Linked DNA regions of Macaca fascicularis. The protein of the gene in region 2 interacts with the protein of the main gene of each other region in a pairwise test. Links are inferred from orthologs where the notes say so. Each region holds a gene or a part of one and is shown on either strand. Other genes may lie near its edges. The genes, in order: ZCCHC10, DZIP3, HNRNPUL1, ATXN1, HNRNPF and ZNF24.

Region 1 (3,959 bases), on a different chromosome or scaffold from region 2:
GATGAATATAAAATGAAAAGTAAAGGCTCCTCTCCTGCTTTCCCCCCAAATACATTCCCCAAACTCTCTTGGACTTCGCAAGCCTCTAAAGGCCCTCCTTTGCTGAATCCCTTGGAGACTTACACTCTGTGTAAGTCTGTCCGGAGCTGCACGCCCCGGCCATAGCGAATAATAATTAAAGATTAAACGCCTGAGCTATATTCATTTCCACCCCACACCTTCTCCCTAGATTTACCTTCTTCCCTGTATTAATACCGCCATTAAAAGATGGCGCTCTTCCTGCTTCTTCTTCATTCATTTTTCCCACACCCGCGAAAAGACTACCTGACTGCGCAGGCGCAACATGACGTCCGACCGGAGAAACCGAAGCCTATCTGGCCACACCTTCCGCAATGAGGTCATTTCCGCCTTAGCCCAACCCCTTCCCCTCCAAATGTATATAAGGCATTGCATTACCACCATTAAACGAGACTTGATCAGAGCACTGTCTTGTCTCCATTTCTCCTGTCTCTTGTTCCCCAAATTCCCACCCCCTCCTCCAGGGACTGCTCTGACTATCCCGTGGGCCGGGATACGTGGCGCCCAACGTGGGGCAGTATACCACAACGGTTTTTACAGTATGCCACATGTTTGCTTCCCAACAGGACCAAAAGCTCCTTAAAGGTAAGATTTGTCTTTTACAAATCATGTAACTCATGTACCAAATACAGACACATTGTAGATATAAAACATTTAACTTTTGATACTTCTGAAACAATAAATAGCAGTATTATTCAGATGCTAAGTCTTATTTTCACTTCATATTTAAAGTGGACATTAGTTTTGCCAATCCTGCATTCATTTACCTCCTCTGACCTATCTACCCTGGTTATCATTGGCTTATGGTCATCCATTCAGTTGTACTGAAAGGAGAATAAGATCTCTAAATCAATCAGATATTCACAATCCCACAGGCATAGTTTAACATTGGGCATGTAATCCAATCTAGACCAAAGAAGTACAATCAACTTGAAGCTGAGAGAATATAAAGGACCCTGGATACTGCAGCCATCTTGGGAGCAAAGAATAGAGCCTATTCAAATATGGAGCCAACAACCAAAGAGCAAGTGTGAGAGACAGACAGGGAGAAACGGAACCTGGTGACATCATTTAGCACTCCCTTTAAGTATTATCATCCCATTTTTGATCTCAGAATTGTCTGACTTAATGGTAGGCACAGTGGCTCATGCCTGTAATCCCGGCACTTTGGGCGGCTAAGGTGGGATCACTTGAGATAAGGAGTTCGAGACCAGCCTGACCAACATAGTGAAACCCCGTCTCTACTAAAAATACAAAAATTAGCAGGGCATAGTGGTGGGCACCTGTAGTTCCAGCTACTCGGGAGGCTGAGGCAGGATAATCATTTGAACCAGGGAGGCAGAGGTTGCAGTGAGCCAAGATCACACCACTGCATTCCAGCCTGGGCAACAGAGTGAGACTCGGTCTCAAAAAAAGAACCGTCTGACTTCAAGCCTTCTTTCTTCACCAAGCTTACTACTCTAACTCCCTAAGTCTGTCTGTACATTTGAGGAACTCTTCTTATCAGGCCTGAAAGTGTAGATGGAAAGGAAAAGAGAAAAAAAGGGATTATTTGAATTAAAAATATATAAAAAGATATAAATACACATATATATACTAGCAGACTTTGAGCTATATATGGACATGAAAATGGAGATGGCATGAAATATTTTATGAAAAAGAGGCAGATGTTTGGATGTGCAAAGGCTGTGCAAAAGCTTTATAAGAAAGGGCATCTGGGGTGACCCTTGCATTATTTGTCAGGTGTGAATCTCTTCTGCCACTCTCTCTTATTCATTAGGCGTAATGGCCATCTTTCAGTTCTTTAAAAAGTAAGTTTCAGCCTCAAAGCAATTATGCCACTATCCGGATGCTCTTTCTCCAAATCCTCTTATGACTGTTAATTTTTCACCCTTTAAATCTCTGTTCAAATTCCACCTCTTCAGAGATGCCTTTTCAGTCCAACCAACCTAAAGTGGGCCTTTCTCTCTTTCCATCACAACAGTTTGTTTCCTTCAAAGCTGTTATCACCAGCTGTATTTACATTTAGTAGTTTATCGACTGTTTCCATCACTAGAATGTAAGCTCTCTGAAAGCAAGGATTTTTGTCCTAAAAAACACCTCTTTTTCTTTATACCCAATGTCTGGCACAGAACGGTAGGTACTAGATAAATTAATATTTATTGAAAGAATGAGTACCAAAAAGTGATAAGATAGCTTGGGAGGGCAGTCGGCATTGTAGGCAGGATTCCTAGGGAAGGCGCTAGAATAAGGAAGTAGGAAAAGGCAGCAGGGATGGACGCTAAATAGGAAACTGAAGGTTTACGTCGGCCGGCATAAAGGTGTCGGACCGGGGCTTCAGGGCTCCCTTGTCGACGCGTGGGGTTGGCGGAGGGGCATAAATCACTGAGTGACCAACTGTGGGCGTTCCCTTCAGAGAAACCAAACGCGACAGTTGTCTTCAAACCCCGCTCTGTCCCGTGCCGCAGACTTTACACGGCTGTCTTCCGTGAAATCGCTAACCCACGGTCACCAGACTTATCGCTCGGGCCCGAGCCCCTCGGGAGCCAGAAGCGTGTTTGAGAAACAGACATTCTCCGCCGGTCCCAACAGGGGTCCGACACTAGCCCGTTGACGCGCGTTTCACCGCTCCCAGCCCGCCGGTGGGCCCGAACCGGATCCTTACTTACGCTTGCCTCCGAGCTATGAGCCGATGCATGGGAGTCGCCATCTTAGCGCGGTCAAAGCCGGCCGCGCAGGGTTTTGGGAAACTCCTCGGAAGGGCGGGGCTTCCAACCGGCAGGCCGTAGACGTAGGCGAGGCCAGACAGGCCTCTAGGGGTTCTGGGGCAGCCTCCGCGGCAGGATCTCAGTGCCGGCTCGGGAGGGGAGGGAGGGGAGGGAGGGGAGGGAGGGGAGGGAGGGGAGGGGAGGGAGGGGAGGGAGGGGAAGGAGGGGAAGGGAGGGGATGGAGGGGAGGGGAAGGGAGGGGATGGAGGGTCGGAAGAGGAGGGGAGGGGAGGGGCTGGTGGATCGGGAGGGGCCGGTGTCTCCAGTGTGGGTCTCGGGTTCTCTGGCGGAACCGGGTTTCAAAGGATGATTACAGGCAAGAACATTATCTGTGGAAAATGAGGACCACATTCTCGAACGAGGGATACACATACAAAGACAAAGAATGAAACTGTGGTGTTCAGAAACTTAGAAGTAGTCTGGAGAATAGAAAGGAATTAGTTGACCAGCAATTGAAAGAATGACTTTAGCAAGCCATAGAGTGCAAACATACACGTTATTTCTGTTTTGTATGTATTTCACAGGGTTGTTACAAGTACTAAATGGGACTGTGTAAAGCTGCTTTGTCAAGCAGAAAAGGACTATACAAATATTTTACAATATTTTAGCTGCACCTACATCTAATGTCAGCTCACGGAGCTATTATTCTCTTAAAACACGTTCTCTGAAATATATATAACTTTCTGAAGTGTATGTGTGTGTGTGTTTCCGGGTCATCCATATTTTTTCCTTTTTTTTTTTTTCCATTTGAGACAGAGTCTCGCTGTGTCGCCAGGCTGGAGTGCAGTGGCGCCACCTTGGCTCAGTGCAACCTCCAGGTCCCTGGTTCAAGAGATTCTCTTGCCTCAGCCTCCCGAGTAACTGGGATCACAGGCACACACCACTATGCCCAGCTAATTTTTGTGTTTTTACTAGGGACGAGGTTTCACCATGTTGGCCAGGATTTTCTCGATCTCCTGACCTCATAATCCGCCCGCCTCAGCCTCCTAAAGTGTTGGGGTTACAGGCTTGAGCCATCGCGCCCAGCCATATGTTTTCAATTAATAATTAACACTTAAAATGTTTTAGGAGCTGAGGACAGAGCATTTGAACAAATAAAATCCGTGTACACAT
Region 2 (4,131 bases):
ACTGACGGCCCTGCTTATTCTGCGGCTTCTGGAGTCTATGCTAATTCAGAAGCAAAGCCTTAAGCATTTAATAGCTAACATCTTAATTATTAGGTTTGCAGATACTTCCTAAGTAATGAATGAAAAAGAGAAAACAAATGTACTTAGGAGATGGGCACGTGAAGTAGGGAGAAGAGGAGCACCAGTGAAGCTCAACAAAGACAGACACATTTAATACCACAGCAGATTCACTAACACCTGCTGTTGCTCTACTACTTGAAATCATTTTTTTTTCTGTAATATTTTACAAATCTTTGTCACATTAGTCTTTTGTCATAGGGTTAATATAACAAATACAATATATTTTAAAATTATGTTCAATTCTGTCTTAACAGAAGAAAGCCGTGACACAGAGAGTTAAAATAAGCCTTAACTCAGCTTTAAAAAAATTAAACTGAGGTCAATGTTAGTCTGAATTCCGTAAATGCAAAACAAATGACAGCAGAAGATTAAGATCCTAAAACAAATGGTATCGTCTGAACACATATCACTAGAACTAACAGAAAAAAAGGCAATTCAGCATTCTAGGATTAAAAAACTGTGAGCAATGTATTTTGGTAAAGAAAAAGGATTACGCTTACTAGGAAGGGGAACTGCTTCTTAAGGTTGAAGTAATGTTTTTCAAGTTTGAGTTCAACCCGAGTTCAAATAAGAGCAGGAAGCAACAAATTCAATTATAGATTACCGAAGAGCAAAACCAAGTTTTAATCATGACTTTCCGTCACTGAGAATAGCTGTGTATTGAGGGCTTGGTTTCGTAGAAAAACCAAAACTAGAAACAAAGGAAAAGATAAAGCTCCGAGCTTTTTCCGTTACCTACTCGAAACACAGCCTAAACTTCCCAACCTTTTGCCCCACTCCCACTTTTCCTAGAGCCTTCAGTGGGCGCTCTTGCCTCTCGCTGCGGCCGGCGGAACCCCGACACTCACTCGCCTTTACCAGTACGAAAAGACAACAGACGGATCGAAGGACCGTCCTTTCTTTCCCAGGCTGAGGCCGCCACTCCTCGGCCTCACTGTGAACTAAGAATTACTAGGGAAGCCCCATCTGTCCTCCACCCCAGAGCCTCTCACCTCCAAATGCCGCAAAAGCTGAGTGGCGTTCGCCTCTGACTTCACGGCTTTGTACTGACTGATAGTCAGGAGCAAGGACTTCAAGCAGGCAGTAGAGTCCATCGCACCGGCCGCGGCCCGGCTTGCGGACTACCACCTCTCAGCCTGCGCCGGCCTTTAGCTTTCGCCGCGCTTTTTTTGAGTTTTTTCGGTCCCACCCCCTCGCTCCCAGAAGCTTCCGGATCCGGTCGGGCTCCGGAAGAACCTAGGCACTCTGGGGGACCGTTCTCGGTGACTGCCGGGGTGGGCCAGGGGTCGAGGTGTTGTGTGGGTCCGGGACGGGGGTTGGGAGCTGCCCCTGCTAACCCACCCTCGTCTGAGAGGCCGCGAGGTTTCGCCTTGAGATCCCGTGAAGGCGAGAAATCTCGCGATTTCTCGGGAGAGGAATCGGTTAGGCGAAGTGGATTCCTCGTTCAGCTGTGCGCTCTGTTTTCGTGCGCTTCCTCGTCCTTCATGCTGGATGGCCAGTTTTTCCTTTGTGCGTCATCCTCTACCTGAGAAATGGTCGCTTGCCCCTAGTCTAGACACGGTGAGGAGCTCTGAGGAGAAGAATCTTTGGGCCCTAGATTTTGAGGCGGCCTGGGAGGGGCCTCGTTTTTAAATCTCTCCTCCACCCGCCCCTTCTGCCCGGGGATGGTAGTTTCTCAGAGTCAACCTATGGACGTTGGCATTATGTGGCAAATTAGTCATGCCCTGACCATAGTATTTGTCACATTTATTCGAGAAGGCTACCTCCTGCTGACCCTGGGCCAGGTATTGCTCCGGAGGGTGTTTTCGTTAGCGTCAGTTTTTGTAAGTGAAGGTGTTTGTTTCTCTCTGGCATGATTGATTGTTTTATAATTCTCAATGTCTACGAAAATGGCACTATTATTTGCGTTTTTTTGATCGGAGATAACTTAATATTATTGCATGTGTATATAATGAAGCGAGTCAGTTACTGGTTTTGGAGGTTTTTGCTTGATATTTCCTGACGTCGAATAAAGCTTTAAAAACCGGAATGTAGAAATTTTTAGAATAGGGTACATTTCCATTTAATTAAATCGTTTTTTAGAAATCATGTTTTTTCACTTCAAAAAGCATTTTGTGAATTACTAGATTTTTGAAGACAGGTTTGGTGTTTTAGTTTTGTTTTTTATAAAAAAAGTTTAAAACGAAATCTGAAAGGTAAAAATGATTTAACCAGTTGGGACTTTCATGTAAAAATCTTTGGGCAGCTTATGTGTTCATTCATGCTTTCATTCATTCCGTAGACAATTATAGAGCGTGTAACATGGGTTAGAAACTGCCAGTCAGGGCACAGAGATGAAGATAGTATCCCCCTGCTGCGAGGGAACTGTTTAGTAAGGGAAACATAGAAAAAAGTATTTTTGAAATTCACCACATAAATGAGAGGCACCACGCAGTAACATGCAGCAATGGTGAAGAGTAGAGAGCCAGGTTGCTTACAGATTCTAGCTCCGCCTTTGACGCTGTGACTGTAGGCAAGCTCTCACTGCTTCAGAATCTTCTTTAGGTAAAATCTGGCCAAGAGAAATACCTGTTTCGTAGGACTGTGCATTCATTGAGAATCTACAATGTGCTAAGCACTTTTCTAGACACAATAGATTCAGTGAATAAGACAAAAATACTACTGGCATGCAACTTACATTCTGGTAGGGAACCAAATAATAAGCACAATAAATAAGGAAAATGATATAAAGAGGAAAATAGACGTTATTACTCTAGAATAATGTTGGTAATTGATAAGGGAAATGGGGAGGTCAGGATAGACCTTATTAAGAAAGCAACATCTGGGGAAGTGCTTCAAGGAGTTGAGAAAGGGAGCCGTATTCTATGGGAAAACGTTTTTAGACAGGAAATGGCAGAGGAAGAACCTAGAGTGGGTCACTGTGTGCCAGGAACAACAAGGATGCCATGTGGCTAGTGTAGAAAGAACGAGGAGGAGAGGAGTAGAGATGAGGTCCTATACAGTCTTGGAGATGGTTAAAAAATGAATTAATATTAAGTGTCAGCTGTCATCTGGCATAATTAAGTTCTCAGTGTTACAGTCAGTGGCTCATTGGCAAATGATCAGAGTTTGATAGTGTTAGACTTTTCATCTGTACTGACAAGAGTGTCAGCACCATCCCCATTCAGAACCCCAGTGTAATGCTCAAAGTTGCCTGCTATCAGTGCCATCTTTGTTGGATTTTGACTTAAGCAGTCATACAAATTTTGCATTCTCTTCTGTATTTAATATCAAATGTCTTTCTCAAAAAATCTTCACCAAAATTGATGTTGTAAGTTTAGTAAGATGTACCGTTTCTAGCTGTGATAAGTCTTGACATTTTTAATCAGAGATACTTGCATATCCTAATTTGAAAAACACTGATCCATACTTTTAGGCCTCAAAAAGGGAAGAAAAGGAAGAGGAGGCCAGGAGCAGTGCCTCATGCCTTTAATTTCCAGCTTTTTGGGAGGTTGAGGCAGAAAGACCTTGAGCCCAGGAATTGGAGACTAGCCTAGGCAACATAGTGAAACCCCATCTCTACAAAAAATGAAAAAATTAGCTGGGCATGGTTGTGCTCAATTGTAGTCCTGGCTACTCTGGAGGCTGAGGTTGGGGGATCACTTGAGGCTGCAGTGAGCTGTGATTGTGCCACTGCACTGTAGCCTGGGTGGCAGAGTGAGATCCTGTCAAACAAAACAAAACAAAAAAAACAGATGAGTCTAGGTCCCGATGACCAAAGGCCTTAGTATCCTTAAACTTGGACTCCATCCTGTAGTCCATGGCAATCTCTGATTTTAAACTGGCACCTTGTCTAGTCAGGTTTGTTTTTAGGTTGATTACTCTGGCAGCTAAATGAAATATGATTTTGGGGATAAGACTGGAAAGAGGGACACTAATTTTCTGGAGCTTTCTAAAGGATAACCAGGATAATTGAGGTGGAGATAGAAAAGAGGTGACAAATTTGAGAAATATGTATGAGGTAAAATAGGT
Region 3 (3,500 bases), on a different chromosome or scaffold from region 2:
CAGCCTCCCAAAGCGCTGGGATTACAGGCGTAAGCCACCGCACCCGGCGAGAATAACCTGTTTTATCCTGTACTCTTCTGTGCTGTCTAAACTTTTGTTAAACATGAGCATGTATTATTTTCATAAACATAACTTGACATGGAACGGTGCAGAGATCACAGCAGATGCTGGCCTAAGCTGGCAGTTCTTTGCCCTGTTTTCCCTCTGGCCTCCCTTTACTAAGTGACACCTGAGTCTATTCTTTCTAGATCACTTTTCTTCCAAACAACGTATTTTCTCAGTTCTACAAACATGTCATCACTACACTGGTTGACTATACAATACCTGGGTCAACTCTCACCAAGGAAATATCTGCTTGATGAAGCAATGTATGGTTGGCCTGCTTTTCTGATATGATATTTAGCAATGATGTAGTTCTCTTGAGTTCATCACAGTTTTGTCTGCTTGGACACAGTATTGCACGATCCAGTCTCTTTTCCAGTTGTAGCTCTGACCAAGGTGGCTGGTGTCAGGATATTACAATGGACGGACCTCTCTGACCTTCCCCTTCTCTTGTTCCTACTCACCTTCATCTCGAAGCACACACGGCCCCTTCTGACCCCATAGCTGGCACGGGCTCCTGACCACAGGTAGGCAAAGCCCTCAATTGTGAGCGGATAGCCACTACTCCGATCTCGGGCCACTTTGAAGTGGAGGTCGCAGTTATCTGTGAAGGAAAAAGCCCAGTTGGTTCATGTTTTTGTTTTGTTGAGACGGAGTTTCGCTCTTTTTGCCCAGGCTGGAGTGCAATGATGTGATCTTGGCTCACCCCAACCTCTGCCTCCCAGGTTCAAGCGATTCTCTTGCCTCAGCCTCCTGAGTAGCTGGGATTACAGGCATGTACCACCACACCTGACTAATTTTGTATTTTTTAGTAAAGACAGGGTTTCTCCATGTTGGCCAGGCTGGTCTCGAACTCCTGACCTCAGATGATCTGCCCGCCTCAGCCTCCCAAAATGCTGGGATTACAGGCGTGAGCCACCATGCCCGACCTGGTTGATGTTTCAAAAGTCCTAAGAAACAGGCAGAGGGAAGTTCCCCAAGTGCTGACCAGGAGTACACAAGTGAACACATCTTGGGGGCTTAAGCCATCCTCCCACTGCAGCCTCCTGAGTAGCTGGGACTACAGGGATATGCCACCATGCCCGGGTGATTTTTATATTCTTCGTAGACAGGGTTTTGCCATGTTGCCCAGACTCAAACTAGATTTTAGAATACAAAAAGGTTGATCACCACCACCATATATTCCGCCCTCTGTGCTAATTCTATCAAGTTGGGAACCAGACTTCTGTTTCCAACAGCTATACAGGGATCTGACCCTGATCCACACCTGCCACCCAGGAACCAATGCCCAGGTGCCCCATAGGCTCCTAATTCCTCTCATAGGCCTAGGATTTTCCTACTGTTGCTCTTACCCTTCTCAATATTCAAGCAACCAGTCATGCCTCCAAGAAAGCCTTTCCTGACCATCCCTCCCATGAGGCACTCTCCTTTCTCTGAAGGCTGACCACTGTGGTCGGTACATTTCCATTTCATCAGACACTGCCTCATGAACCACTGCCCCCCAACACTTTTTAAACAATGTTTACCTCTACTCTGGGTAGATTTTGTCTTTGAGAGCTTGCGATATTAGAGACCGTATATATCTTTATCTCTTACAGAAGCATGTAGCCAGTGCTTTATAAACATAAGCTTCTGTAGAAATAGATGAATAAATTGCTGCTTATCTTCTGCTCTGTTGAGAAGTGCAGTGTTCTCAGACCTGACTGGGCTTCTGGGTGCATATAAAAATTCAGATTCACAGGCTCTTCATTAGACTCTGACTAGGAGGTCTGAGGAAAAGGACCTTTATAAGAAATCCTCCAAATGCTCAGATGCGCAGCAAAGGTGAAAGCCACTTATCCAGTGGAAAGAAAGCTGAAGTGGAGGACAGACAGCAGGGTGGGCCAGGTTTGTGCCTCAGAGGACACAGTGACATTGGTTTCACCAAGAACGTGAGCAGCTGATGGAAACGGGAACTAGTTGTCAAAAGAGTTAAGTTTCCCCAGCAGCACTCAGATTCCCTTCCTGATTAGATGACAACCTCTGTGTGTACAGGGCAGTTCAGGGTTTTCCAAATTGCTCCTGTATCCACTGAGGAGTCTCCCTGAAAGTCCTCTGAGGTTATTACGGCAGAATTAACTGAAGGGAAGCTCAGAGAAGTAGAATGACTTGCCCAGGGTCCCACTGCTAGAGTTGGGAGTAGGTCTTCTGCCTCCAAACCAGGACTCTTGCTCCAGAGCTAAGCTGTGTGTCACATGTGGACTAACAATGTCTTTGGACGGTGCCAGGCAGGGATTCTGGTGAAGGTCAAGACACAATTTCCCCATACTGACTAAAAGGCAGAATTAGATGGGCACTCCAAAGACTTACAGGTGTCAATAGCAACAAGGGTATCATCAAAGTCATCTTCATCCTCTTCAGCAGGAGGCTGAGGAGAGCGGCCCCTGTGTTAGAAACGGGGGTTAAGTCACACAAGAACAATACATGAGCACAAAGGAAAGAAAATGAATGTTCTGCTATAATCTACAAGTGGCCTCCAGACTGCTTCCTGAATCTCCATTTCTTCCCACAGAAGTGGGCAAAAGAACTCTGGAACCATACATCCTTGCAATGAGAGCAATGACCATCAACTCCTAGGGTGGAGACAGGGATTGGAGAGGGCATGCTCTGCTGAAGGGGGCATCAGAATCATTTAGGGAACTTTTTTGCTCTTTTTTTACACCCTAAGATTCTAATCCATACCCTCTGCATGTTGACAACCACTTCCACACTGATCTCCGTTACTGTTTGGAGGCTGTGGTATCTCAAAAGGGTGCTGTCCAGGAAGGGGCATGTGCAAGAGCCTAGATAAATCCCAATAATTACTATCTATCCATGTACCAGGCTTCTTAAAATCCTACATCTGAGAGAATTTGAGATGACCCATTTTTTTCAGTGTCCTAAATTATAAATGATATTCATTTTCCTACCAAAACACTAAAAAAGGGACTTAACACTGTTGGTTTCTGCTGTACAGGAATGAGGAAGAAGGGTAGAAAGGTAGAGTCTAACTAACACTCAGGGTCCTGCCTGGACAGTCTGGGTGGTCACAGTGCACTGCATGCACAGATGGGGAGCCCATGCCCATTTGGCTGCTGACTCTCCCAGCAGCAGCCTTCCCTCTGGTGGAGGGCCCCTCTGGCCTCGCCAGGCCAGGGCTAACACAGATGAGTCTCTTTCCTGAAGAGCAGCTCAGAGAAGCAGAATGACTTGCCCAGTGTCCCACTCATGAAGGAGACTCATGAGACTCATCTTATGAGTCTGTGCTCATCACATGTTAAGTCCATTCTACGAAACTTTCCCTGCCAGCCCAGGATCAGAGCGAGTGTTCTTCCTCTGCTCTCCATCAGCAAGTAGCTTCTAGGCCTCTGCTCTGTGGC
Region 4 (3,500 bases), on a different chromosome or scaffold from region 2:
CAGAAAAGACCGTGGAAAATGGGTTAACTCCAGGCTACATGGCTCCAGAGTGCGTCTTAGAAATGAATCTGCCTCCTTCCTCTCCACACTCCACATTCACTATTCCGTGTGGTGACAGGGGACACTGCGGCTCCTCCCCCAGGTCTCCTTGGCTGGCTCTTTCTGCAACGTGGCGGCAGACGCGGGGCTCCTGAAGGCTCCCCGCCCCAGCACTCAGCATCCGCAGCCGGGGAAAGGTGGGAAGCTCTCTCCCTCCTGGCTCCTTCCCTCCAGCCCTGCTCTGGCCAGAATGGGAAAGACCAACCAAATAAGGAAAAAGCCAAAAAGGAATGAGCTTTAACTATATAGCACACTGGTCAGACTCTATTGGCACAGAAAGTATTGCACATGCTAAAAAAGCAAGAGAATGAAATGGGACAAGTGTTTAGAAAGAACCAATTATTTTATAATTCCTATACCTGAAATAGAACCACAAAAATTATGATGATGTTCCTATTGCTCCAAACCACGTGTGTTTTCCCATCTTAGTGTTGGTTTAGTGGATCCAGTCAGTTCAATACTCGAAGTAAGCCAAAAGGTGGTGTGTGTTTTTCTGAGTCCACATGAGTTGTAAATAGTGATACTAATGAGAACAAAGTCTATGTGGCAGCCCGTATTCCTCTTACCATCAAAGGTTAAAAAACAAAAAGAAAAAACAAAACCTAATAATTGCAAGTGCCCTGAGCAGAATATATGGAAGATTAAGCAAGTTCTCTGAACAGAAACGTTTAAAAAATACAGCACTAAATAAGCAGTATGACTGCAAGAATGAACCCACCCAGCTCTCTGCAAGCATGCTGAGAGGGTAATGAAATTCGAGGAAAGTCAAGAAACTATTCTAGCTATTCTAAACCTATTCAAATGTTTTTGGTACACCCCAGAAAATGGTTTACAAAAATCATTAGTCCTGGTGAGCCTTAAATGTAAATGAATACTAGACAGCCAAAATGTGGGTTGATACCAGATTTTTTTTTTTTTAATTTGTGAAATGAAGGAAGTACTATTTTCAATGGGGTAAAAGAAAAATCAGGTATTTGTTTAGGTTAGTTGCAGCCATCCAAGTAAGAATATTTAAAAATTTCTCCCTACTTATAAAACTGTTTTTTTAAAGCACTTTAAAGATGCATTCAAAACCCACAAATGATATTTCAGATCTCTGGGAATGAAAGGTTTAAAAACTATGAAATACCCTTTCTGGGTTTGTACCAAACATTAAATCTTGATTTGATTTTGAATAGAAAAAAAAAAAGTCATTCTGAAAATAACATTAATAACAACAATAATAAAATAATTGTTTAAAACAAAATCTTGCTCACATATATAAATGTCTTTATGGAAAACTCTCTCAATGAATCTGAAGAAAATTCTCAGAGTTTCTAAGAGCCTGCTAAGACCTGGCTTTTTGTGACAGATGTGGTAAAAAGACCAAAATGAATTTTCAAAGGAACATAACCTTATAAAATGGCCTAGAGTTTAGGCAGGTTAGAAAGAAATTTTGCTACATTTATTTATGCTCGTTCAGTCCCCCAAACCTTTCCCACAATGTTATTGGATAAAAACTGCAGGAATATCACACAAATTATAAACTCAATATGTGCAAATCGCAAGGTTCTTTAAAAGTTCATCTTAAAAAGAAAAACACTGGACAAAAATGAGTATTCTCTTCTCCATCCCTTTTCTCTCAGTTTCTCTGCCAACTCTGCATATGCCTTGAACTGATTCTCAGACATCAAAGTGAAAAGTGCCTCCCGTCAGGTAGTACTTGGTGGTCATTTATTGTCACATACTAGTTCATAATTCACATTCATCCCTTTAAACCACATTGAAACTTTCAATATCTTGCTCTTCAGCAATTCTGCAGAGCTGAAATGTAGTTACAGTGTTGAAAAAAAGAAAGCAACTTAGTTTTTTTTGTTTTTTTGTTTTTTGTTTTTCCCCAAAGAGTTTAAAGTGAGATACAGTACTTGTTGAATGAGAGACCAAGATGCTTGGTAATAAAGTGTGAACAGTATTTTTAAATGCTTAAAGATAGTAATATATGCTCATCTTCAAAATCTAATTCCTCATGTCACACTGGAATCTGAAAAAAAAAAAAAGTGGCACCCGAGTTGTCCATAGTCATGAACTATAAACAGTACTAGAGTTCAAAGACAAAAAGATTTTGCAAACTCAACGTGAAGAGCTTCTGTGGCTCTCACTGAAGGGCAGTTTGCATCTACCTCTTGGGAGTGAAGTCAATGCAATAACCTGATTGGTTTACCTAACACTGCACAGAAACCAGCGTGGGTGTTCGCTCTCTCCCCCGCCCCCACCCCCAACCCCCCTTACCCCATGTGGGGCCATGACAGCAGGGGCTTCCCTGTCCACCACAACACCCCGGTGACATCGCTGCACTAGTAAAAAGCAGAAATGAAATCCCGCATGTGGCAGTTGCTCTTTAAAAAAAAAAATATATCAGTGCAGTCAGGCCCCATAGGGGGAAATATATATCTATACAATTAAAAGTTGCTTTTATTGTAAAACAGGTTGGAGAGAAAAATGTTCTTTTAAATGGTTAACTTTCCAAATCTGCCGTCTGACGCGCCTCCGCGATGCCCTGAAGCTGGGTTCCTGATGTTGATTTTGCACATGGGAACCCCAGGAGGACACTGCTCTGAACACCCCGTCCCATGCCGATAGCAAGAGAGTGAGGCAGAGGGAGGCAGAGAAAAAGAGACCCTCACTCGCCGCCACAGCACCTGTGCACCCCCACATGCATGCACCCCTGCACCCCTGCAGGACCCTTCCCACGGGACTTTTCTCCTGACACTAGCGGGAGTCAGCGCCCCTGGCTGCTTCTGGGCCGCTACAGAAAGCAGGCGCTGTGGAGCCCGGTTCCTTTCTTCCCCGGGGATGCGTGGAGCCCTGACCGCTCCTGCTGTGCCCTTCCTCCCGCCCGCTCACTGACAGACACTCGTGGAAAAAGCATATGCACCAGTCTCCTGCGACACACCTGCTGTAACTCTAATGACAAGGTTAGAACAGAAACCTAAAATAAGAGGATAACATGTAAATACTGTGTTATTTAGCCTACAGTACAGTAATCTGGATACAAATGATAAGGGAGAGCCACGTTTCCTTTCCCCCACGCTGCCTCTACTTGCCTACATTAGACCGGCCTTCAATGCAAATCTTAACCTCCTGAGGAATTAGAGAAGGCTTAGGAAGAGTCAAAGGTGGTTCGTCTTCTGACTTCTCCAGTTTGCGGCTCTCCGGCGCCGACCACCTCCTCTTCCTCGTGGCCGCGGGCTTGCTGGGTTCTATTTTGGTGAGGAAGGGCGCTGCAGGCAATCCCATTTTCTCTGGAAACTTCAGTTCGCCATTCTCAGAGAGCATCTGGGCACTCCCCTGGTTGATTCCGTTTTCCTGCTCGGCATACCTGTGTCTGCTGCCCGCCAGGCCGTCGGCCTTTGAGTGCTTCA
Region 5 (4,223 bases), on a different chromosome or scaffold from region 2:
TCCAGCCTGGGTGACAGAGCAACACTCGGTCTCAAAAAAAAAAAAAATACAAAATTGAGCCAATAGTGGTGGTGCTACTCAGGAGGTTGAGGCAGGAGGATTGCTTGAGCCCAGGAGGTCGAGGCTGCAGTGAGCCGTGATTGTACCCACTGCACTCCAGCCTGACTGACAGAGAGAGACCCAGTCTGGAAATAGTAATAGTAATAATGTTCAGCTTAACCTGTGATGAGTGCCTTGACATCATCTCTTCATGAAGAAGGTCCACCAAAATGAAATGATTATAATTATTAGCCTTACAAAGCGTGAGAAAAAAAAAAAAAAATCTGTCCCTGGCTTAGCCATTAGCCACCAAATCTCTGTGTTCAGGTGCTCTGTGACTGAAAACCTTGCCCTCGACCTGGGTCTGAGTTACATTCTGAGGTTTGGGGGCTTCTCACACCACGGAATTACCACGTGAGCAACTTCGACCTGACAAATCCCTCCTAACGCTTGCCCCGCTCTGAGACGCCTTTAAGCGATCTCTGGAGTACTCAGCGTACTTTTTTTTTTTTTTTTTTTTTTTTTTTGAGACGCAGTCTCGCTCTGTCGCCAGGCTGGAGTGCAGTGGTGCCATCACGGCTCACGCAACCTCCGCCTCCCGGGTTCAAGCGATTCCCCTGCCTCAGCCACCCGAGTAGCTGGGACTACAGGCGCGCGCCACCACGCCCGGCTAATTTTTTGTATTTTAGTAGAAACGGGGTTTCACCATGTTGGCCAGGATGGTCTCGCTCTCCTCACCGCGTGATACGTCCGCCTCGGCCTCCCAAAGTGGTGGGATTACAGGCGTGAGCCATTGCGCCCGGCCCTCAGTGTACTTCTTTCCTTATTTTATTTTTTGAGACAGCCTCTCGCTCTGTCGCCCAGGCTGGACGCAGTGGAGCAGTCACGGATCACTGCAGCCTCGACCTCCCGGGCTCAAGCGATTCTCCCGCCTTAGCCTCCCAAATTACTGGGACCACAGGCTTGCGCCACCACGGCCTGCCATGGTTCTCATTTCCTTTTCCCATCCTAGTCTTCAAATCAGGAGTCCTTTGAGCGCACATTTCAGTGTCCTGCGGGGCTTACCAGTGGCCTTCCTCCAGGGCCTCAGGGGCAGTCAGAGGGATCTTTCCCGCCGCTCCACTTCCTCCTCCTCCTCCTCCCCCATCCCCTCCCCACCCCTCCCTTCTCCTCCCCCCCATCCCCTCCCCACCCCTCCCTTCTCCTCTCCAGAAACGTCCTCGCTAGTCTGCCTCCGCCGCCTCCCCCACACCCCCGCCCCCAGTGTCGGCTCAGCTCCGCGCCCGGCCGGCCAACCGGTAGCTCCGCTCTGGGCGCGTCACAGTAGCGCCGTCGCGGCCCCGCCCCCGGGTGCAAGACGCAGAAGCTCCGCCCTACCGCGGTCCTTGCGTCCTTCCGGCTCCGTCGTGGAAGCAGGACTGCGCCGCGTCTTCCTTAAGGTGGGGTTCGGGGTGGCACTGAATCGCTGTCACGCCGGCAGGTAGCAGCGGGGTGGGGACGCGGGCTCCTTGGGCTTCTGTTTCCGGGTGCTCAGGGCAAAGGGCCGAGCCGGGGAGTAGGGCCGAGTCGGGGCCTGGCACGCCGGGAGCAGGAGGGCTTCCGGCAAAGCCGCGTGCTCTCGTCGGGCAGGCGCTAAGGACTGGGGCCGGCAGCGCGCCTGACCCCGCCCCTCGTAGGCCCCGCCCCGTGCTCGCAGCCGGGGGTTTCCATGGTGATGGTCAACAAGCCTCAACTGCCTCTGCTACAACTGCCAAGTTCCCCGCGTCCCACCCTCCTCTAGGTGCTCCGAGGGACCACCGGGGTGCCTGATGTGAGAGCGGGAGCGTAGAGACTCGGAGGCCGAGGTGAGGGGTGGCCGAAGTCTCCGACGTCGAAGGCCGCACACCCGTGACCGAGCGGGGACCGGGTCCCCCTGGGGGTGTGGACAGTGGGCCTGGGATTTGAGATTGGGGAGACCTTCCGAAGTCCAGGGCCCCGTACCCGGACTACCTGGGGTTTGGGCCTATTGGGGTGGGTGGGGCTGGGGCTGGGATTTGGGATCAGGGAGGAGAGATCTGAGTTTAAGCGCCACGCATCTGGGACCGATCGAGGACTGCACATAATGAGGGGCCGCGGCGCTGAGATTTGGGGGACGGATTCGAGGTCGAGGGGCCGGTACGTGGGACCGGCGAGAACTGGACCCCCTGGGATCGGGAGACGCAGTGTCGGAGGTCGAGAGCCGCACGCCCAGATAGTGGTCCCACGCGGTGAGCACCGCGGGCTGAGATTTTGGAGTCAGGGGCTGCCGGGAAGACACGGCCGGCCGGTGCGTTAGTTCAGCCTCCTGGTCGGGCGCTGGCGACCACCGGAGGGCTCTGAAAGTGAGAACAGGCCTGGCTCAGTGGGAGGCCCAGCCGGGAGGATCTCTTGAGCCCAAGAGTTCCCGACAAGCCTGGGCAACATAGTGAAACTGTCTTTGCTAAAAAGTTAAAAAAAAAAAAAAGAAAGCCACGTGTGGTGGCGCGCGCCTGTTGTCCCAGCTACTCGAGAGGCTGAGGCGGGAGAGTTGCTTGCTCTGAGGAGGTCAAGGCTGCAGTGACAGTGACTGTGCCACTGCATTCCAGCCTGGCCGATGGGAGTGAGACCTTGTCTCAGAAGTAATAACAGTAGTAATAATACCTGAATAAAATGAAAGCCGCGCGCTCACGTGGCTGTAGGCGCCTGAGAGTTGCACAAGACTTCCTTGTGGGGAGTTGGCTCCGCCCTCCTCCCACGCCCGGTTCCCGGAGCCTTAGCTCTCTGCCCTGGGCCCATTTTCTTCCTCGGCGGCGCCGCGTGTCCTCGTAGCGCGGTCTCTGTGTTGGTCTCCTGCTCCTAGAGGTACCGTGTTTGTATCTGGGGTGAAAATCTGACTCGTGCGCGCTCTTCGGCTTAGTCGTCTTTTTTTTTTTCCCTTCTGCTTGTGTGTATGAAGCATTTTCGTCGATTCCGCCCTGCTCCTAGGAAACTTGAGGACGGGGCCCGGCTCCTGCTGCGCCGGCTGCCCCGCTCCCCCAACCGCAGAGTCGTGGACCAGGGTTTTGAGGAGCAGGGCACCCGACTCGCCCTCCCCGCCAGACCGCCCAGGTCGCGGGGACCCCTCCCGCTAGGTGCCTGGGATCCCCGCTCGGCTCCGCGTGTGTCCCGGCTGGAGGGTGGAAGGAGAGCCGAGCTCGGCCATTGCCCGCGGGGCGCCCTTCGCTGCGGCTTTTCGGTCTCCGAGCGGCCCGGGGACGAGCTAACGCGCCTCTTTAGTTTTCGAAACTGCTTGCGGGCGCTGGGGGCTCGGGCCGGCCATCTGCGTGGCGGGACAGGAGGCGCGCGCTGGCGGCTGCGCGCGGAGGGCAACGGGCGGCGACGGCGGCTTCCCGGAACCGCGCGGGGCGGGCGCTGCGCCGGGGTCAGGGCCACAGCCTCAGGCGGCAGGGAGTTCTGAAAGTGTTGTCTTCAGTCGTTCCTTTCAAAAAGTCATCTTAATTCTTCCAAAAATATACACATATAATTCTTTCTACTTATATTTTTAAAAGTTAGATACGTGGTTGTCTCTGAATTCCTAGTAAGATAAAAATTCATTGGGTTCTCTAGGTAGGTGAAAGATATCTTAAGTGCTATCCCTGAAAAGTGACTCGTTGCTTTTACAGAATTTATAAAATAAGACATTACTACTTTAATGAATGTAAAGAGAGAGATTGCTTTATTCCTAAGCAAAAAGATCTTTTGCCTTGTAGGTATTACATTCCGGTGTGCATTCTGTAGATTAGAGTCACTGCCGGCCGGGCGAGGTGGCTCACGCCTGTAATCCCAGCATTTAGGGAGGCCGAGGTGTGGGAGAATCGCTTGGGCGTCAGAGACCGACCCCGTCTCTATAAAATGATATATATATTATATATATTATTTTTTGAGACAGGGTCTCACTTTGTTGCCCAGGCTGGAGTGCAATGGTGTGATCTCGGCTCGCTGCCGAGATCCTCCTGTGCTCAAGGGGTCCTCCCACCTCAGCCGCCGAGTATCTGGGACCACGGGCATTCTCCAGCACGCCTGGCAAATTTTTGTATTTTTTGTAGAGATGGGGTCTCCTTGTGTTGCCCAGATTGATTTTCAAACTTTTGTGTTCAAGCGATTCTCACGCCTCTGCCTCCCAAAGTGCTGGGATTACAGGCGTGAGC
Region 6 (4,296 bases), on a different chromosome or scaffold from region 2:
AGTGCCTTAGGGAATGGAGCTCTCTAAAATCAAATGAATACCTAATGATATTTAGGGAATGGAGCTCCCCAAAGTCAAATGAATACCTCATGACAAGTGAAAATGATACGAAATTAACATGAATGTGTCCATAAAAAATTGTACTTACTCATACTTCACGCTACAATAGCAGAGTTGAGTAGTTTCAACAGACTAGATGGCCTAAAAAAAACCCAACACAGTCATGCACTACAAAATGATGTTTGGAGGCCGGGCGCGGTGGCTCAAGCCTGTAATCCCAGCACTTTGAGAGGCCGAGACGGGCGGATCACAAGGTCAGGAGATCGAGGCCATCCTGGCTAACACGGTGAAACTCCGTCTTTACTAAAAAATACAAAAAACTAGCCGGGCGAGGTGGCGGGCCCCTGTAGTCCCAGCTACTTGGGAGGCTGAGGCAGGAGAATGGCGGGAACCCGGGAGGCGGAGCTTGCAGTGAGCTGAGATCCGGCCACAGCACTCCAGCCTGGGCGACAGAGTGAGACTCAGTCTCAAAAAAAAAAAAAAACAAACAAAAAAATGATGTTTGGGTCAATGAAGGACCGGTCAATGAAGGACCACATAGATGACAGTGCTCTCATAAGATTATAATGGAGCTGAACAATTCAAGATTCACCTAGTGACACTGTAGCTGTTGTAAGGTTAATGCATTATTCACATGTTTGTGGTGATGGTGGTGTAAACAAACCTGTTGTGTTGCCAGTTTAACACATACAGTTATGTATGGTACATAAAACTTGATAACAACAATAAACGACTATGTTACTTGTTTATGTATTTACTATACTTTTCATACTATACATTTTAGAGTGTGCTCCTTCTACTTATTAAAAAAAAAGTTAACTGCAAAATGGCCTCAGGCAGGTCCTTCAGGAGCTATTATAGAAGGCACTGTTATCACAGAGATGACAGCTCCATGCACGTTACTGCTACTGAAAACCTTCCAGTGGGACAAGATAGGGAGGCAGAAGGCAATGATATTGATAATCCAGACCCTGTGTAAGCCTAAGCTAATGCATGTGTTTGTCTTAGTTTTTAACAAAAAAAGTTCCAAAAGGAAAAAAAAATAAAAACTGGCTAGGTGCAGTGGTTCACATCTGTAATCCCAGCACTATAGGAGGCTGAGGCAGGAGGATCACTAAAGACCAGGAGTTCAAGGCTCCACTGAGCTATGATCGCACCACTGCATTCCAGCCTGGGCAACAGAGTGAGACCCTGTCTCTAAAAAATGAATTTAAAAATAGCAAAAAGCTGGGCCTGGCGCAGTGGCTCACACCTGTAATCCCAGCACTTTGGGAGGCTGAGGCGGACGGATCACGAGGTCAAGAGATCGAGACTATCCTGGCCAACATAGTGAAACCCTGTTTCAACCAAAACGAAGGTTTGCTTTATTATTATGTGCTTAAAAAAATTTTACCACTTAAAAAATAAGGTATTTAAGAACTCCTTGGACTTAAAATATATGTGGAAAAAATGTTCACTTGCTGAGTAACAGATCACATAATATTGAAAAGATCATATGTGAAAAACAGATCACATATTTTGAAAAATTATCTTGCACATAATACGTAAATATTCAGTCTTCCACCACACCATACGTACATTTATATTTATAATGATAGGCATTAATCACAGAAAATTCTATTAAGAAAAGGCACTCGCATTAGCACCTTAACTTCTTGCAGTGGTCCAGTGTCTTGTCCTTACACTGGATGACTCACAGTTTCCCCAGTTCTACCTTCAGGGAAACTGTATGCTGTTTCTGGACCTTTATTATTTGCACTATCATGCCCGTGCTGTTGTTTACGACACATACTAGCAATGAGCCATGCAGCCTATGAACAACAACTTAAAAAAACTTATCGTAACCCAAGCAAGATGAAGACTGGAATCAGAAAAGGCCTTATCAGACAAGTAATACATACTGGTTTAATTAAATACCCTGGAGTGTGGTGGCCTTATAAATAAGGTCTAGCCAACATTGATTTGTGCCTATTCCAAGACCCTGCTTATCAACGGTGCAACTATTTCTACATATATTTCTCTTCCTTTCATGCTGTAGAGCATACTGCTTGTGGGAAATGGAGGGAAGGCCAACGGTCCCGACAATGTTTGGTCAGAGCACCTCGTTCCAGGTGATCGCCCACCTTACTGCTGCATAGACCTGCTGTGTACCCCGATCCCGGCCAGTCCTCTAGCCCCTCTTCCCAGCACTCAGGACAGCGGATTTCACATGACCAAAGACCACCCTGTGACAACAGCGTCGGAACCACGGCACTTCCGCCTGCGGCCGGTGGGACTACAAATCCCAACAGCCCCGCGCAAGTCTCGCCCCATACCACCTCCTCCCAACACGACTCCCAGAACCCTCCGCGAGACGCCAGGGCCTCGAAATAGAACAAAACCGGCCGGTGGGGGAGGGGGAAGGTGAGGGTCTCGGAGGACACCGGGGGTTAGAGAGCACTCTGCAGACGCCGAAGACCCAAGCAAGCCTGCCGCCTACCTCTCCCCGCCCCACAACTGCTAGGCGCGGAGAGCGCGGCCTATTCCCCGCGCCTCCCGGGAAGCTGAGGAAGGTCCCGGGAAGGCTTCCCCGCCGACTCCTGCTAAGAGGTCCGCAGACCCTAGCCCGGTGTCCCCCTCCCTCCCATAACGTTCCCCGCACACCGGCGCAAACCTCTGGCTCAGGAACCGCAGCAGCTTCGCTGTCCACGGCAGACGCAGAAACACCGTTCACAAGCCTTTTCCCAGAAGCCCCCGGCACGGGCTGCTTCCGGTCTGCGGGCCTGAGGAGGCGGGGAGAGGTAAAGCCCACGTTGCCATGGAGAAGCTCCCCGGGCGGGGGAGGGGCGGCCCCACGACAATGACCGCATTGAGGCTGCGCTTGGCCTCGCGCCTCGAACAGCCTAGCGTCCTCTGGACCGTTTAAAAGAAAAGTAGAGGACTCTACCATTAAGATAGTCCTTACAGTTTCGCAAGCCCTTTCACGTGCATTATCTTGTGGATCCTCTAAGTAATTCCCTGCAAGAAGGAATAAAAGCGAGTATTTGTGAAAGCTTACTACATTGTGCCAGGCGCTCTCGTCGTGCTTTACATGTCATTTATTTTTTCACAAATAAATGATGTAGGAACTTTCATTATCCCCATTTCACAGCTGAGATAGTTGAGGCACAAATACAGTAAGTAACTTGACAAGAGCTCACAACTCATTTGTGGGTAGCAAGATTTGAAACCAAGACGTGATTCAAATCTTTGGCTCCCACTAGTTATGTCACGGAGCTTTATTCTGACCTATTTGTCAGGAAAACTAGATGAGACAGGTTAAGGGTTTTGGCAACGATGTCACGGTGAATTTGTAGAATGCATGGTCATCTTCAAGCTGGGCATTTTATACCATAAAACAGCTGCTGACGCAATCATTTATTACAAATCAGACCACTTCACTCCCCTATTTAAAGCCCTCCAATTTATGCCATAATAATTTATGACATAAAAACTCCTTATAATGTCTTGTAAGTCCCCCATGGTCTGTTGCCTGCCCGCACCCCCAGACCCTGGCGCCCCCAGTCACCTCAGCTCTTCAGCTCCGTGTGGCCCAAGATCCTCAGCCTCACCGCCAGCCTTTCATGACACATGACCCTTCATGGCACTATTATTAATGGAAGTGATCTCATTTATTTACTTGTTTTTTGTTTTGTTTTGCCTTTAAGTCCCTTAAGGGCAGGGACCTTGACTGTCTTGTTCACCACAGCATCCCAGCCTAGACCCCGGAAGCTGACTGCCTGGTAAATAGAGAACACAATAAATGTTTGTTGAATAAATAAATGAATTGTGGGATGGTTACATCGCTGCCTTTAGTTAGGTCACATGATTGGCATCAGACACCACACAAAGGAGCCCTGTTGTTTAAGGACTGGTCAAAAGTGTAGATCCAACCTAACATAAGCATTTCAAGTTCCTCAGGCTTTGACTTTTTGCCTCATTCGGGAAAATGCCCTCTGCAAAGTGCCGTCAGGCTCTGCTGGGTTCGTGCATGAAGACAGCAAGTAAGCCAGCAGCTGATGGTATACCATTGCTTTTCACTCCGACCAGAGCCTTTCTCACAACCCGTGCTAACACTTCTCTCTTCATTGCAGGAAGCTTCAGAAATCCAGCCTTTTCACTCTGCTACTTGGATACGGCCCCCAAGCAGCTTGGCTGCTCTTCCCAACTTTTCCCTCTTTTCTGATTCATAAAGGCTAGCTGAAGTCATTTTTGTTT

What was found.
Region 1: the proteins of DZIP3 (region 2) and ZCCHC10 interact in binary tests that used the Homo sapiens proteins (3 or more experiments, as listed by UniProt). The link is inferred for Macaca fascicularis from reciprocal best matches to the Homo sapiens genes DZIP3 and ZCCHC10.
Region 3: the proteins of DZIP3 (region 2) and HNRNPUL1 interact in binary tests that used the Homo sapiens proteins (3 or more experiments, as listed by UniProt). The link is inferred for Macaca fascicularis from reciprocal best matches to the Homo sapiens genes DZIP3 and HNRNPUL1.
Region 4: the proteins of DZIP3 (region 2) and ATXN1 interact in binary tests that used the Homo sapiens proteins (3 or more experiments, as listed by UniProt). The link is inferred for Macaca fascicularis from reciprocal best matches to the Homo sapiens genes DZIP3 and ATXN1.
Region 5: the proteins of DZIP3 (region 2) and HNRNPF interact in binary tests that used the Homo sapiens proteins (3 or more experiments, as listed by UniProt). The two-hybrid records come from large-scale screens. The link is inferred for Macaca fascicularis from reciprocal best matches to the Homo sapiens genes DZIP3 and HNRNPF.
Region 6: the proteins of DZIP3 (region 2) and ZNF24 interact in binary tests that used the Homo sapiens proteins (3 or more experiments, as listed by UniProt). The link is inferred for Macaca fascicularis from reciprocal best matches to the Homo sapiens genes DZIP3 and ZNF24.

The regions. Positions count from the first base shown.
Region 1 is NC_088380.1:139,543,285-139,547,243, forward strand, and holds the start of ZCCHC10 (zinc finger CCHC domain-containing protein 10), read right to left. Parts: upstream 2,801-3,959; 5' UTR 2,789-2,800; coding exon 2,748-2,788; exon of another isoform or gene 2,744-2,747; intron 1-2,743.
Region 2 is NC_088376.1:174,503,227-174,507,357, reverse strand, and holds the start of DZIP3 (E3 ubiquitin-protein ligase DZIP3), read left to right. Parts: upstream 1-1,331; 5' UTR 1,332-1,904; exon of another isoform or gene 1,905-1,943; intron 1,944-4,131. Other genes in the region: protein CIP2A, read right to left, coding at 1,113-1,214. UniProt on the Homo sapiens protein: E3 Ubiquitin ligase proteins mediate ubiquitination and subsequent proteasomal degradation of target proteins.
Region 3 is NC_088393.1:48,413,676-48,417,175, reverse strand, and holds part of HNRNPUL1 (heterogeneous nuclear ribonucleoprotein U-like protein 1), read right to left. Parts: intron 2,526-3,500; coding exon 2,452-2,525; intron 707-2,451; coding exon 567-706; intron 1-566.
Region 4 is NC_088378.1:156,606,963-156,610,462, reverse strand, and holds part of ATXN1 (ataxin 1), read right to left. Parts: coding exon 3,175-3,500; 3' UTR 1-3,174. UniProt on the Homo sapiens protein: Chromatin-binding factor that repress Notch signaling in the absence of Notch intracellular domain by acting as a CBF1 corepressor. Binds to the HEY promoter and might assist, along with NCOR2, RBPJ-mediated repression. Binds RNA in vitro.
Region 5 is NC_088383.1:52,687,173-52,691,395, reverse strand, and holds the start of HNRNPF (heterogeneous nuclear ribonucleoprotein F), read left to right. Parts: upstream 1-1,423; 5' UTR 1,424-1,478; exon of another isoform or gene 1,479-1,883; intron 1,884-2,831; exon of another isoform or gene 2,832-2,898; intron 2,899-4,223.
Region 6 is NC_088392.1:54,500,749-54,505,044, reverse strand, and holds the start of ZNF24 (zinc finger protein 24), read right to left. Parts: upstream 2,801-4,296; 5' UTR 2,704-2,800; exon of another isoform or gene 2,099-2,703; intron 812-2,098; exon of another isoform or gene 1-811. UniProt on the Homo sapiens protein: Transcription factor required for myelination of differentiated oligodendrocytes. Required for the conversion of oligodendrocytes from the premyelinating to the myelinating state.